Linked DNA regions of Coturnix japonica. The protein of the gene in region 1 purifies or fractionates together with the protein of each later gene. This does not show direct contact. Links are inferred from orthologs where the notes say so. Each region holds a gene or a part of one and is shown on either strand. Other genes may lie near its edges.

The links.
Region 2: the proteins of CDK7 (region 1) and GTF2H5 purify together in Homo sapiens (affinity purification with mass spectrometry; 7 studies listed by BioGRID and IntAct, with this or other methods). This does not show direct contact. The link is inferred for Coturnix japonica from reciprocal best matches to the Homo sapiens genes CDK7 and GTF2H5.

What each region holds. Positions count from the first base shown.
Region 1 is NC_029547.1:13,176,254-13,182,809, reverse strand, and holds the start of CDK7 (cyclin-dependent kinase 7), read left to right. Parts: upstream 1-2,822; 5' UTR 2,823-2,919; coding exon 2,920-2,979; intron 2,980-3,159; coding exon 3,160-3,219; intron 3,220-4,031; coding exon 4,032-4,065; intron 4,066-4,754; coding exon 4,755-4,822; intron 4,823-5,571; coding exon 5,572-5,640; intron 5,641-6,401; coding exon 6,402-6,512; intron 6,513-6,556. Other genes in the region: MRPS36 (28S ribosomal protein S36, mitochondrial), read left to right, coding at 487-662, 1,880-1,897. UniProt on the Homo sapiens protein: Serine/threonine kinase involved in cell cycle control and in RNA polymerase II-mediated RNA transcription. Cyclin-dependent kinases (CDKs) are activated by the binding to a cyclin and mediate the progression through the cell cycle.
Region 2 is NC_029518.1:46,899,176-46,905,414, forward strand, and holds the start of GTF2H5 (general transcription factor IIH subunit 5), read left to right. Parts: upstream 1-2,700; 5' UTR 2,701-2,800; exon of another isoform or gene 2,801-2,927; intron 2,928-3,065; 5' UTR 3,066-3,147; coding exon 3,148-3,182; intron 3,183-5,430; coding exon 5,431-5,611; 3' UTR 5,612-6,239. Other genes in the region: protein SERAC1, read right to left, coding at 130-166, 1,486-1,576. UniProt on the Homo sapiens protein: Component of the general transcription and DNA repair factor IIH (TFIIH) core complex, which is involved in general and transcription-coupled nucleotide excision repair (NER) of damaged DNA and, when complexed to CAK, in RNA transcription by RNA polymerase II.

The DNA.
Region 1 (6,556 bases):
TAATATTAGAAACAGGTACAGAGTTGCACGTGTATGTCATTGTTGTGATGTTCACCTTTCTGTAAGCCTCTGCCTCTTTTTCACCTTTACAATTGCAAGTAGACAAAAGCATCACCTCAGTGGACCTTGGTTATTCATCTGAACTGTCATTCTGCATTACCCTCTCCACAACACAATTATGATACCTCATACTTTCTCTGCAAGGAAAGCTTCCCACAGGAGAAAAAGCCTTTGTTAGGACATATACTGATTTCATTTTTCTTTCCGTGTTAATATTTCTTCCACTTGAATATACTATCTTTTAATTTCAGAATATTTTCATTGTGCTTTTGATGTATTTAGTAACAGTAAAAACAAGTTGAGTCAGTTGAGTATATTAATATATGTTAGGACACAACTAATTGTCAGTGGCTTATTTGCCACTCATCTAATTAACTGTACAATCTTGTTGTATTTCTTTACATTGTTTTTCAATCTGGGTTTCAGTACAGGAATCTCTACAAGCAAGTGTTCCGTCACCTCATGCTTCAAATGAAGCCTTTCAAAATATTTCACCTGCTAGTAGGGCACATGGTGCACCAGACACTTCTGAATTAGCAAGAATCTTACCTCAAAAATACAGAAGGAAACTTATGTCAGCTGAAGAGATTGAATATATTCAAGTAAGTCTCAGTAACTGTTGTGTGTTCTCTTATTTACCCAACCTTCTTTGTAGTTCTGCAGGTCCTTAAAAGTTGCACATGAGATAATAGATTGTAATTTTTGTTAAGAAGAGCTTTTGCAGTGTTGATACGCAGTACCAAAACAACAAATCCTTGATGAAGGAGGTTCACAGCTCTTACTAATTAGTAGCTTGTGTTGTCACTGTAGGATCCATATTTAAAGCAAAGGTAGAAAGGCAGTGATAGGTAGAGCCTACACTAAGCATATTCCCTTCTTGTTTTATAACCATTGTTTAGTGCATAATTTGAATATGGGAGCACAGAATGCTGTTCATGCTCTTGCCAGGTGACTGAAGTACAAAATTCATAAAAACTAGTTTGGAAACTGTTATGTAATAGGAAGTTAATTTTTGCACTTCTAACAGTTGGGAGCATTTTAGTTAAGCTTGATGCAAGTATTGCCTAAAATATTTGCAATTGCTGCATAACATGGGAAAGTCAAGGCAGAACTGCTTTTCTTCTGGAAGAGTTTTCAAATGAAAACATTTTTACTTAAAAAGGGAGAGTGCACAGAATTTGAAGAGCTAGACAGTAGCTTTCTTAAATGAGGACACTTAAAGGGTATAATGGTACTAGCGGAAATCTATATTTCAGCGTGCAAGTGGGTGACTATTTAAATTCAAAATAAAACAATCACTTTCCTGTAGTTACATACTTCTTTACCTCTGTTTTTGGTTTGTTGTTTGTTTGTTTTTAACCACAAGGCAAGTTGTTAAATAACTTTGTCAAAATAGTGAATTTCTGATTTCTCATAAAGATTATAGTGGGTTTCTTGGGCTTTGCTTTTACTTTGCCCCTTGGAATTTGGGCAGTAAAAAAAAAATCCAAAGCTACTACTACGGCTGTTTGTCTCATCTTTCCAGAGTCACTAAGTGTCATGTTTCTTCCAACTGAGAGGATAGGGAGCAGCTGCAAATATAGGTTGCAGAGGTTTTTATATTGTTTATATTATTCCATCAGGCACAATAAGCTATTAATGACAGGCAATGATTTTTCTGACATGTAGCATGTTCCATTACAGATTAAAAATCAAAGCGTAAAAATGAAGTTAAATCTAGGACTTGTTTATTAATCTATAACTGCAAAAGAAGACTGGATATCAATTTCCCTTTCTTTTAGAGGAAAATAGTTAACTCTGTCTATTTTTTGCTTTACAGCGTGGAGGTCCAGAATAAGTACGGAAGATATTTGCCACCAACAGATATCACCACTGTTGAAGAAAGAAGTATTGTGTTCATCATAAAAGCTTTTCCTTAATATTATAAATAATGGTATACTGATAGCTTTAATAAAAACCCTATGTGAAGGTGTAAAGGTTGACACAGCACTATTAATTGGTGATGAGAGATTTTCTGTTGATGACTAATAGCAAATGATGGCTACATCATTAGAGTATTTTTCTAACTAGCCATTCTATGAATTTGGCAGTAGAACAAATTGAGTTGCTTTATTTTCCTTGTTAACAGGTCTTTTCATGGCTGATTTCATGGGCAAGATAGACACACTCAGAGACTCCAGAATGGCTTGATTTGGATGGAACCTTAAAAACCATCTATTTCCAGCCCCATGCTGAGGGCAGGGCTGACACCCATTAGATTAGGCTGCCCATGGCTCCAGCTAGTCTGGCCTTGAATACATCCAGGGATGGGGGCATTTACACCTTCTTCAGACAAACTCTTCCAGTTCTTTGACTCCTTCCAACCCCCAACACGAGTTGATAGTTTTCCCCTACCATCTGATCTGAATATCGCCTCTTTTAGTTTAGAACCATTTCTCTGTGTCCTGTCATCATCAGACTATATAAAAAGTCCTACGATGTCCTGTTTATAATAAGCTGCTTTTAAATAAGTTAATTCTCCTGAAGTTCAGGATCCCCACTCTGCTTTTTGTCAGGCCCCCGTTCCTCATGATCACAGACTCAGCCAGGACATGGTTTAACCTCCTTAATGAGCTCTGTGGGGCAGCTGCCCGCTCCGGAGCTAATCACACACAGCCATCAGGGCACGAGCAGCATCGCACAGCGTGTGCCGGGCCGCAGCCCTCCTAGTACCCGCCTCCGAGCTGACGGCATCAGGCTGCGCGCTCATGGTGCAGGTAGGCGGGTCTGGAGGCGGGCGCCGATAAAGGGCCGTGCTGCTCTTCCGTTGTGCCTCGTTCTCCGGCCTTAGGGCTGTGCTGCTTTTCCCAGCTGGCAGCCATGGATGCGCGGGCTCGTGCTAAGCGCTATGAGAAACTAGACTTCTTAGGGGAGGGACAGGTGAGCGGCCGGTGGGTGCGGTGTGGCCGCCGGGGCCCTCTGAGGGGCGGCTGGGTGCGGGAGGGAGCGTGGCTGGCCGGGCCGATCGCCCTCCCGCTCACCCACCGTAGTGACTCTGGCTCTGGGCTGTGGGCTGCCCTGCCGCCGTGGTCACGCGTCTCTTTCTCTCTCTCCCTTTAGTTTGCTACTGTGTATAAGGCAAAGGACAAGAACACGGGTCAGATCGTTGCTATCAAAAAGGTGAGTGTTGGAACACCCCGCTGTGGTGTCACTGGGAGCCTTGTCCTGCACGGTGCTTCTGTTGAACTGCTGTCGTGTGTAGTGTGTGAGAATTCACAGGATTGGTACATTGGAAAAGAAGATCATGTAGTCCATGGGTATCCAGCCTTAATGTCCTGTGCTACGCTGGGAGAGGTGGAATTGTGCTGGACTGAAAACAGTGCCTCCATTTTACTTCTGTGGAAACTATAGCAGATAGAGCACACTCTAAGTTACCAAGAACTATTTTTCAGCATAGACACCACCGTTAATTAGACATTTTCACTAGCAATGAGCTAAAGCCTGCGTGCTGTGTTGCCATAAATCTGTATGAGTGGGGATGACTTGCTGTTGCTGTCACCTGAGCTGAAATTCATCACCTGCTCCCTCACTTTGCTCACACTTACTGTTTGATCTCCATAAATGTTCAGCAAGCTTCTATGAATGTTATTAGGTGCCATTTTTCTGCATGGAGAAATTCAGCAACACACTTTTGCTTCCTCTGTGCATCCATGTCAGATGTCGTTTTGTCAGAGTACCCCCCGCTGCCCTTTTGTCAGATAACAACACCATGTAATGGGAAGGTTCAGCCTCTTACTGCCATGCTAGCATCCGCCTCTGACATCATAGACCACTAACATAGGAGGCATTACTTGCAGAGCAGCCCTTGTAAGATATTCAGAATTGTTAATGTATTTTAATGAACTTATTTTAATCTTTTTTTTTTTAATTAAACAACTAAACTGTTGGGGATTGTGACTTGACCTTATATAATATGAGGCACTTATTTTCAGATTAAACTGGGACATCGATCAGAAGCTAAAGATGGTAAGTGTTAAAACAAGTTCATGCTGTATAAGCTGTCTTTGTTTGTTTTGCTTCTGCTGATTGGGTGATTGATTCCTTCCCAACCTAGAGGGACAGAAAAAATAACATCCGAAATACAGCATTCTCATACTGTATGTTTAACTGTGCGTATATGACTGTTTAGGTGGAACCCAATCACAAGTATAGCATGGAATAATGATATTGGCTTGCATACTTTTTTTTCTGAATATAAAAAATATGTCCACATGAAAGCGGACGTTGTCTCTTTTTTTTTTCTAAAGAAGGAATTAAAATAGGCAGAGTATCAACTAAGCCATCAAGATCTTTGCATCTAAATCTTCGCTGGAATCTTATATGTTGAATGAAACCACCATGGAAATAACACTGTTTTTCAGCTCATGCGTAGGCAAAACATCTTGCACAACATAATGCAGTAGTGTTTGCTTGCCAGTAAGCCAAAGGGATGTGTATTTTCCTTCATAATCTATATCTTCTAGTTGTTATTCATACCTTGCCTGCAGCAGTCTATGTATTTGTGACAGTCTGCTTGGCTTTAACAAATACATGAGTGCTGAGGAAAAGGACTGTAATATTAAGTAATCAATGAACAACAGAATAAGAGGTTTCTTTGCTGGAGTTTAACTTGAAATTATTAATTATATTCTGTTTAATTATTTTTTTCAATATAGGAATCAACAGAACAGCGCTGAGAGAAATAAAATTGTTACAGGAACTAAGCCACCCGAATGTTATTGGTGTAAGTACAGTGAATTTTTGCTGCAGAGACTGGCTTCAGAGAAGGTAAAACTGCACTGGGAAAGGGATCTGGAACAAGGGATCTGAAGTAAAAAAGGCTGCGCTTGTACTGGGGAGCTGCCAGCTTGTGGGTTGGCTCCTGAGTCAGCAAGGGTGGAGCTGGCACATTAGCGGCACAGTTTAAACTCTAGTCCTTATTGTTTGCACCTGATAACAAGCTTAAAGTATCCTAGGGTGAGCTACCAGGTGAGTAACCATTGTTGCTGCCCACTGAGAATGGGGAGGTTCAGTGAGTGAGCACAGCCCACACTGCCCATACAGTGCTGTGGATGTGGATCAAGTGGTGATGAATGTAAATGTTGTCAGTCTGTGCTCAGGAGACTAGCTTTCCTCTTGGAAAGTCTCTGGGACTGCAGGCCTAAACATGTTCTCTATCAGAAAGCAGGTTTATTCCAGAAAGATTTTGGCAACCCAGACAGAGGGCCTGCCCAGAAATGTAGCTGTTCTCTGGCTGCAGGGAGTGCCTGAGCCTGCTGCTGCCTGGGGAGGGTGGCAGGGATTCCACCTGTGTGAGGTGTGAGCAGGTGGATTAGGGTTCCTCTTGATGATGAGGTCTAGGCAGTGAGTAGCCCTGTGCCTGTTTGTCTCTGCCAGTAAATTGAAAATGCACATGCAAACTAAAGTAGAATGGAATTTTAGGAAACGGGAATTATGAGAGTGTCATTCATCATAGCACATTTTGTTTTACAGCTGTTAGATGCATTTGGACACAAATCTAATATTAGCTTAGTATTTGATTTTATGGAAACGGACCTTGAGGTAAGTCAAATTAAGATAATTTCAATAAATTTCAATATCTTCAAATACATTTTGAAAATGCATTTTGAAAAATATATTTTCATAGCCTTACTGTTACTGTGTGTTTTTTATTTCTTTTTTAGAAAGTTGTCTCATTCTTTCATTATGTAATTTAAGATCATACCTTTAAAAGAGTTGGAATAGTGAGACAGTATTTTCAATTGAAAATGCCTTTAAAGTACTTTCTGTCAGCACCTTTATCAAGAAACGGATTATGTTTACTATATTAGTTTTCTAGGGCTTCAGTCAGAGCATAGAACCACTGATCATAAGCCAGGATCTCAGAATGCAATTGCTAAGCACAGTAACGTAAAACATGCTCAAGTAAGTGTGATATTATTCAAGTATGCCGAGTAATTATCTGACTAGAAGTCACATACTCCTGAACCCTTCTTTTAAATTTGACAGTGGCGTGTGCTTGCAGGCCTGAATCTTAAGGATGTTTCATTAGCTTGTCTGTTGCCAGTACCTTTTTATTGAATACTTTAGTGCAGATTCTTCATTTTGGAGCACTGCTGAGAAGACGTTTTGGGTGACTGTCGTGTCAAATCTGTACATGCTCACATTATCTGTGCTCTGGAAGAAATTAACCCATTATACATGTATATGTAGCTACAAATTCCAGCTTTATCCTAAAGTATAAACTGACTTTTGAGTTGAATAATTTTGTGTTATAAGTTTTTGTGCTTACCAGTCTACCCATATCAATCTAACACTTGCAGGTTATTATCAAGGATACTAGTATTGTATTAACACAGTCTCACATCAAAGCGTATATGCTGATGACACTTCAAGGGTTAGAGTATTTACATCAACAGTGGATTCTGCACAGGGTAAGCATGCTCTAAATGCCCTTATTCCTATAACAAATATCACT
Region 2 (6,239 bases), on another chromosome or scaffold:
CAGAAGATATGCTTCAAAAATACAGCATATTTAAACTCCTCAAATACTGTCACACTTTTTGAAAGTAACGTGAATTGAAGTTTTCACTGTATATGTAATTTACATATAAGCTTGCTGGTTACAACTTACCCTAGTATAAGCGATCCAGTTACTTTTGCAATTTTTCCTTGAAAAATGAAAAAGATCATGTCAAACAAACTTGTATGTATCAAGTCAGTATAAATAGATAACGTGTGATTATCAGACAGTAGGAATTTCAGGAACTCTGAATAAGCTTTTTTTCTGTTTTTGTCTGGCTTTTAGAAAATCACAACTTAAATTTAAAATTAAATAAAATCTTGCAGAATTAGAATTTCCTGCTTTCTTAATCAAGGCAACAAAATGTTTCTTACTGCTGTTACTTACTTTGAGTGTTGCTACTCATCAATTACATTTTGTGCTCAGCTGCAAGAATCAACAGGAAAAATTCTGTCTATATCATCAGCATTTGCTTGAACCTCCACACTATGTTAAGGAGTCAACTTTTTCTTCTTGACTGGGTATTCAGTGTACATGAAAATCCCTGCAGAATCTCCCTAAGCAAATAGATTGAGTGGAATTTCTTGAAAAATATAACTTACAGAGCAAAGAGTTGAATAAACACATGCCACTTACAGCACCTTCCCTTTTAAATGTGAGGATTCATGTCAGACTTGAATTATTTGTGCTGGGTGAAGTTCAGCTGATTATCTAGACTTAAGGTTGTAAGTACAGTGCAACTCTATTGCTATGAGTAGCAGCAAACCCAATGGAATGTATCTCACCTATCATGAATAATTGGTTTTCTTCAGCATGAAGGAGGTTTGCCCTAGACCCACTGCCATCAGCTTCTGACTTTAAGAATTGTGGCATGCAGACAAGAAGCAGTTACATGCCAAAGAAATAACTGGCAAAGAAGAAACAAACAAAAAAAATGCAGTGATTCCCATAGAGCAGAAATGGTAAGAAATGTCCTGTCTTTTAGTGCTGGAAAATACACCTTAAAACAAAAATTCTTACAGTTCTATACACAAGGCATTAAAGAAAGCAGAAACTAAGCAGGGATGATCATAGAACTTAAAGAAGAGGAAAAAAAATTCAGTACAGAAGGAGAGAGAAACAAGGTTTGTTCGATTGCTGCTCTGTTACTAACTCTTTATGGATGCAATGCTTTCACTGTGCTAATCATTAAAAAACGACCAAAGATGAAACAGAAGTAATTTAAAATAATTTAATGAGGTTGTATTTTGGTGGGACTTCCATCATCTACATAATCTAGTGTTACTACTGCAATGCAAAGCAAGCCAGAAGCAGACATCCGCTTCAGGAAAATAAAAGCTTTGATCACAAGTTATGTGGAGATTTATGTCTCTTCTTGTCAACTTCATCATGCACAGTGTTACACCCACACAGACCTTTTCTTCTTTTAATAACACCTTTGATTGATACTTACAGAACTGTACTTACTTATATTATTCCAAGATGGGTGGTGTTTGGTGGCTGGGCCAGAAGTTCCTATTTGTCTACAGCAAAATATGCAGTAAGCAGCCACTGACATTCTGTATATTCAGAAAAAGAAAAAAATAAATAAATTGATTTGGCAATTACAACAGAAAACTTGTAGCCATGTTTCCCTTTTTACAGGAAAGGTTGTAAAGCATATTTATGTCATTTTGTGCGTTATAAAGCACTCTAAGTAAAAATTAAAAAGCCTATAAACTCCTGAATTTAGTAGTTTGCATTTTGGTTACAGCAAAAGTTTACAGAAAATCTTCATGCAATTACATATTTGTGCTAATACTGGTAAGTATCCATCTCTGACTACCTGCTCTGCTTTGAGGCAGAGGCATTTTTCTGTGATTCTTTACAGTGATTCTGTGATTCTTTACAGTGAGGGTGACGGAGCACTGGAACAGGCTGCCCAGGGAGGTGGTGGAGTCTCCTTCTCTGGAGATATTCAAGACCCACCTGAACGCCTTCCTGTGTGACATGGTGTAGGGAGCCTGCTTTGGCAGGGGGGTTGGACTCGATGATCTCTAGAGGTCCCTTCCAACCCCTACAATTCTGTGATTCTGTGTGAGGCCTTTTCCAATGTCTTAGTAATCCTCACTTAAACGCATCATGTTCACATGAAGACAGTGCTGAGTACAGCATATGACTTAGTAATTAGCTGTTCATAATTAATTTTATCTTAACACCCAAGTCTTGTATTTTGACTTAGCAGGCTCTAACAACTCATATACATTGTAGGCAAGTCAGATTTGGAAACGTTTGTCTTTTCTTGCTGACATACCCTGTAACATCACAGTTAATAAGGGATGTATTTTAGCATCTACAGATTGAGGTTCAATGAATGTACAGTTGTAGTGTTAAGCAATGAGGCATTTCAGGCCATGTGAAAGCACCGATTACTGTATGCACCAACTTTCTGCCCTGTCTCCTTTCAGCACTGCACTTATCCACTGACTTCATTTATTACATTTCTGATAAGCACGCTCTCCCTGCGGTCGCCTCCGCACAACTGGGGCAATGCCAGCGGCCAGCCCCACGCCAGGAGGGGCTTCAAGGCTGAGGTTTGACAAACACAATCATCGGACCACGGACAGACCCCATCCCTGGCCCCTCCTACTGCCCCGCCGCCATCCCCCTCTCTCCACAGCGCTACCCGTACCTTCCGCTTCCTATCTCCCTTCGCAGCCGGCACCGTCGCTCACGCACTCAACGTCATCACGCCGCACAGTGTCAGGAGGGCAATAGGAGGAGCGAGGGCTGCACTTGCGTAGTACGTGTATGTGGGGGCAGTGGTTGGGCTTGCTGGGCCGGAGCTACTCGTTCGCCGTCCTCGGTTTAACCTAGGGACGGGTTGGAGCCTGTCTGCCTTCGCCCCGGCCGCCTTTCGCAAGGCCACGGTTCGCACACGGCAACGGGAGGCTGGGCTGCTGTCGGAGGAGTGGGTGGGGGGATGGGGCATAGCCGCTCTGGGTGCTGGCGGGGCGAGGGGGGTCCTGGGTCGCTGAGTTCAACTAAAGCGTTTCTTTGTCTTACAGGTTTCATCTGCTGTTATCTGTAACCTCAAACAGGAGTCTTTGCTGCCACCCGCACCTTGCAGCGTTTGTGAGAGCTGCGAGGATGGTGAATGTTCTGAAGGGCGTCCTGATTGAATGGTTAGTGACAGCATCAGCATCTACTCAACTGTTTCTTTAGGACTGGAAATACTTTAGGTGCTTTTAAGAGTCTAGACCCAAAAATGTATTTGCTGTAAACTTCAGCCTGGAGAAGAGAAGGCTGCGGGGTGACTTTATTGCAGCCTTTCAATAACTGAAGGGAACCTACACCCAGGAGGGGAGTAAACTCTTCGAAAGGGCTGACAATAGCAGGACACGGGGCAATAGATCCAAGTTGAAGGAGGAAAGATTTAGGTTGGATGTTAGGGGGAAGTTCTTCACTAGGAGAGTGGTTACGCCCTAGAACAGGCTGCCCAGGGAGGTTGTGGATGCCCCGTCCTTGGAGGTGTTCAAGACCAGGTTGGACGGGGCCCTGGGCAACCTGATCTAGTAAATGTGTATGTTTGGTGGCCCTGCCAGGCAGGGGGGTTGGAACTACATGATCCTTGAGGTCCCTTCCAACCCGGGTCATTCTGTGATTCTGTGACACTGAGCAAACAGACAGATGAAAGGCATGGTTTTTAAGGGAAGAAGGAGAGAGACAGTTGTGGGTAATCTTAATTCCTGACTCATATTTTCAGATATGTTGTTTTCTGCTTAGACTTAACCATCATGTATTCATCTTGTTTGTTATATTGTAAATAATGTTAATTAGTTTTCATCCTGGGTGATGTGTTCTGATTCTAAAGGGAAATTTGTCCATGCTTCGTCTTTTGTTTTCTTTTTTTATCAATTCCAGTTCGCACACTCAAGGCTGGCTACTCTAAAATGAATATGCTCATAATTTCAGACAGTAAGCTGTTCATATCCGTGCAGTCCATTTGTTTCTATACAGTCTGAAGTCCCTAGACTAAGGTTCTGATAAGAATTACCTCCAGGTTAAAGAAAGTGTCACTCAAGGTTTGTGGAGTCATTATATATCATTACATTATGTACAGGATTTCTGCTGTATGTTTAAATTGTAAACATATTAACAGACTGTAACTGCATGAGTGCAGAACATCCTTCATGGTGCATACAGCTGTCTGCCTACTGTGGTTTACTTCTGAGCTGACTGGACATTAGCCAGCTCACATCTGAATGCCTCATAGTTTGGTATGAGCAGCTTGGAGCATGAATTCCACTATCACAAAAAGTTTCTCTGCTCCAATTTGGCTGCGTGCTACTATGCTGATAAACCTGAACGCAAGAAATGGCCTTCCTGCATTTTCTCAAGACACCCAAAGCAGAGTTGTTGACTAGCAAAACAAGAAATTCTAATATCTCAAGCAGACAGTACAGCCTTGTAGTTTTTTTGTAATTTATTTTACTTGCTCTGGAAGATTTGTGTGTTCCTGTACAATATTGTGATCATTTCCCATTTAGTATTAGCTTGAAACTTTATTATCCTCCCTGGAAGGAAATAGTTTGCCTGACAAGAAGTCTGTAGCATCTGTTATGCCATCAGAGTTTGAACAGCCCCTTGGGTAACTCACTTTTATGTTGGCTTTTCTAGCTGCTGGTTGCTTTCTTGTTTCCTTCTTGCCTTTGCATAATGGTAGCTGATGAGTCCATCCTGAGAGCAGATTACAAACCTGTCCCCTTGTTTACTTTTCAGATACCAATTTTTCACAACTCAGCTTTTCCAGGGCATCTTAGGTAAAAAGTCAGCAAGAAGTTTGGAAAAAATAAATACTTCTGAATGTGTTAAACATTAAAGTAAAACATTAAAATAAAACTATGAAATGCTGATAATATACAGATTTCTTCCTTCCCTCTGTATTATTCCAGTATATAGCTAAACTGTTCTGAGGACAAAATCTCAAGGATTATAATCTTCAAATGCTGAATAAGATCGGTGTTTCTGCTGTAACGTACATCTACTGGCACTGAGTGCACTCCTGTATGTTGATTATGTGAAAATATGTGTGTATTGCCTGACATATGCCTGGGCACACCAGCTTATGCTGTCTGGTACTCATAGTGTGTTGGTAAGGTACATCTGAAAGAAACAAGCAAAAATAAACCTCTGTGCACCCATAAAAAAGAGTGTGTGGAAGAAGACTGAGGACCACCCACTTTTGGTATCATTTTCATTGCTTCTTTGTGTAAACCTTGTCTTTCTTCTAACATTCTTTTGATTGCGAGCAGCTCTTGAAGTTGGTACAATTTTCCTAAGAACTTTGAGAATGTCTTAAAAGGATGCTCTTAATTTTTAGCTGTATCTTATTACAATGAGGTGGAATCTGATGTGTATTTGTCTCTGCAGTGACCCAGCAATGAAGCAGTTTCTGCTCTACTTGGATGAGTCAAATGCTTTGGGAAAGAAGTTCATCATACAAGACCTGGATGAAACTCATGTCTTTGTATTAGCAGAGCTGGTTAACTTCCTTCAGGAGAGAGTGGGCGAGTTAATGGACCAAAACTCTTTTCCTATTACTCAGAAGTAAAAAGATGAGAAATGAGATTGCTGCCAATTCTGAAAAAGCAAATTTCAGTAGTTTGGGTTGTTACTGTTTTAATAGACTGTGGTTAGTAAGTTCTGCATTAAAGTGGCTATTTCAGAAAGTGAGTAATTTTCATAGCCAAAATACTCTTGAACTGAATTTTATTTCTCACTTTGAAATATTATAGTGTCTTTATTAAAATCCATAAAATGATACACTTAAGAACATGCAGAGGGGTCTTTTTGATGCGTGATTTCTGGTTTTCCTTTAGAGTTATCTTGTGAAATGGTATGACCCAGAAATGAGTGATGTTTCTGTATTGGAATCCCTTATGAACCTTTCTGATGTGTTATATTCCTGTGGAATTGATTAAATTTGCTTATAGAGTGACTGATTGAATGTAAAGCAAGTCTGTGCTTGATGGAGCATCCCCATACATTGGAGGCATGGTCAGATGAAATCAAATACTTCTTTAACTTTATGAGTTTTGGATACCAAAATAATAGTTTGGCTTTATTTTTTTGTCACACATGTTACACGTACCTCATAATAATTACCTACTTTTACCAGCATTAACATTTCTGTGTTGTTCTGAGTTTGGGGAGTGGTGGTGAGGATTTAAGGTTTTGAC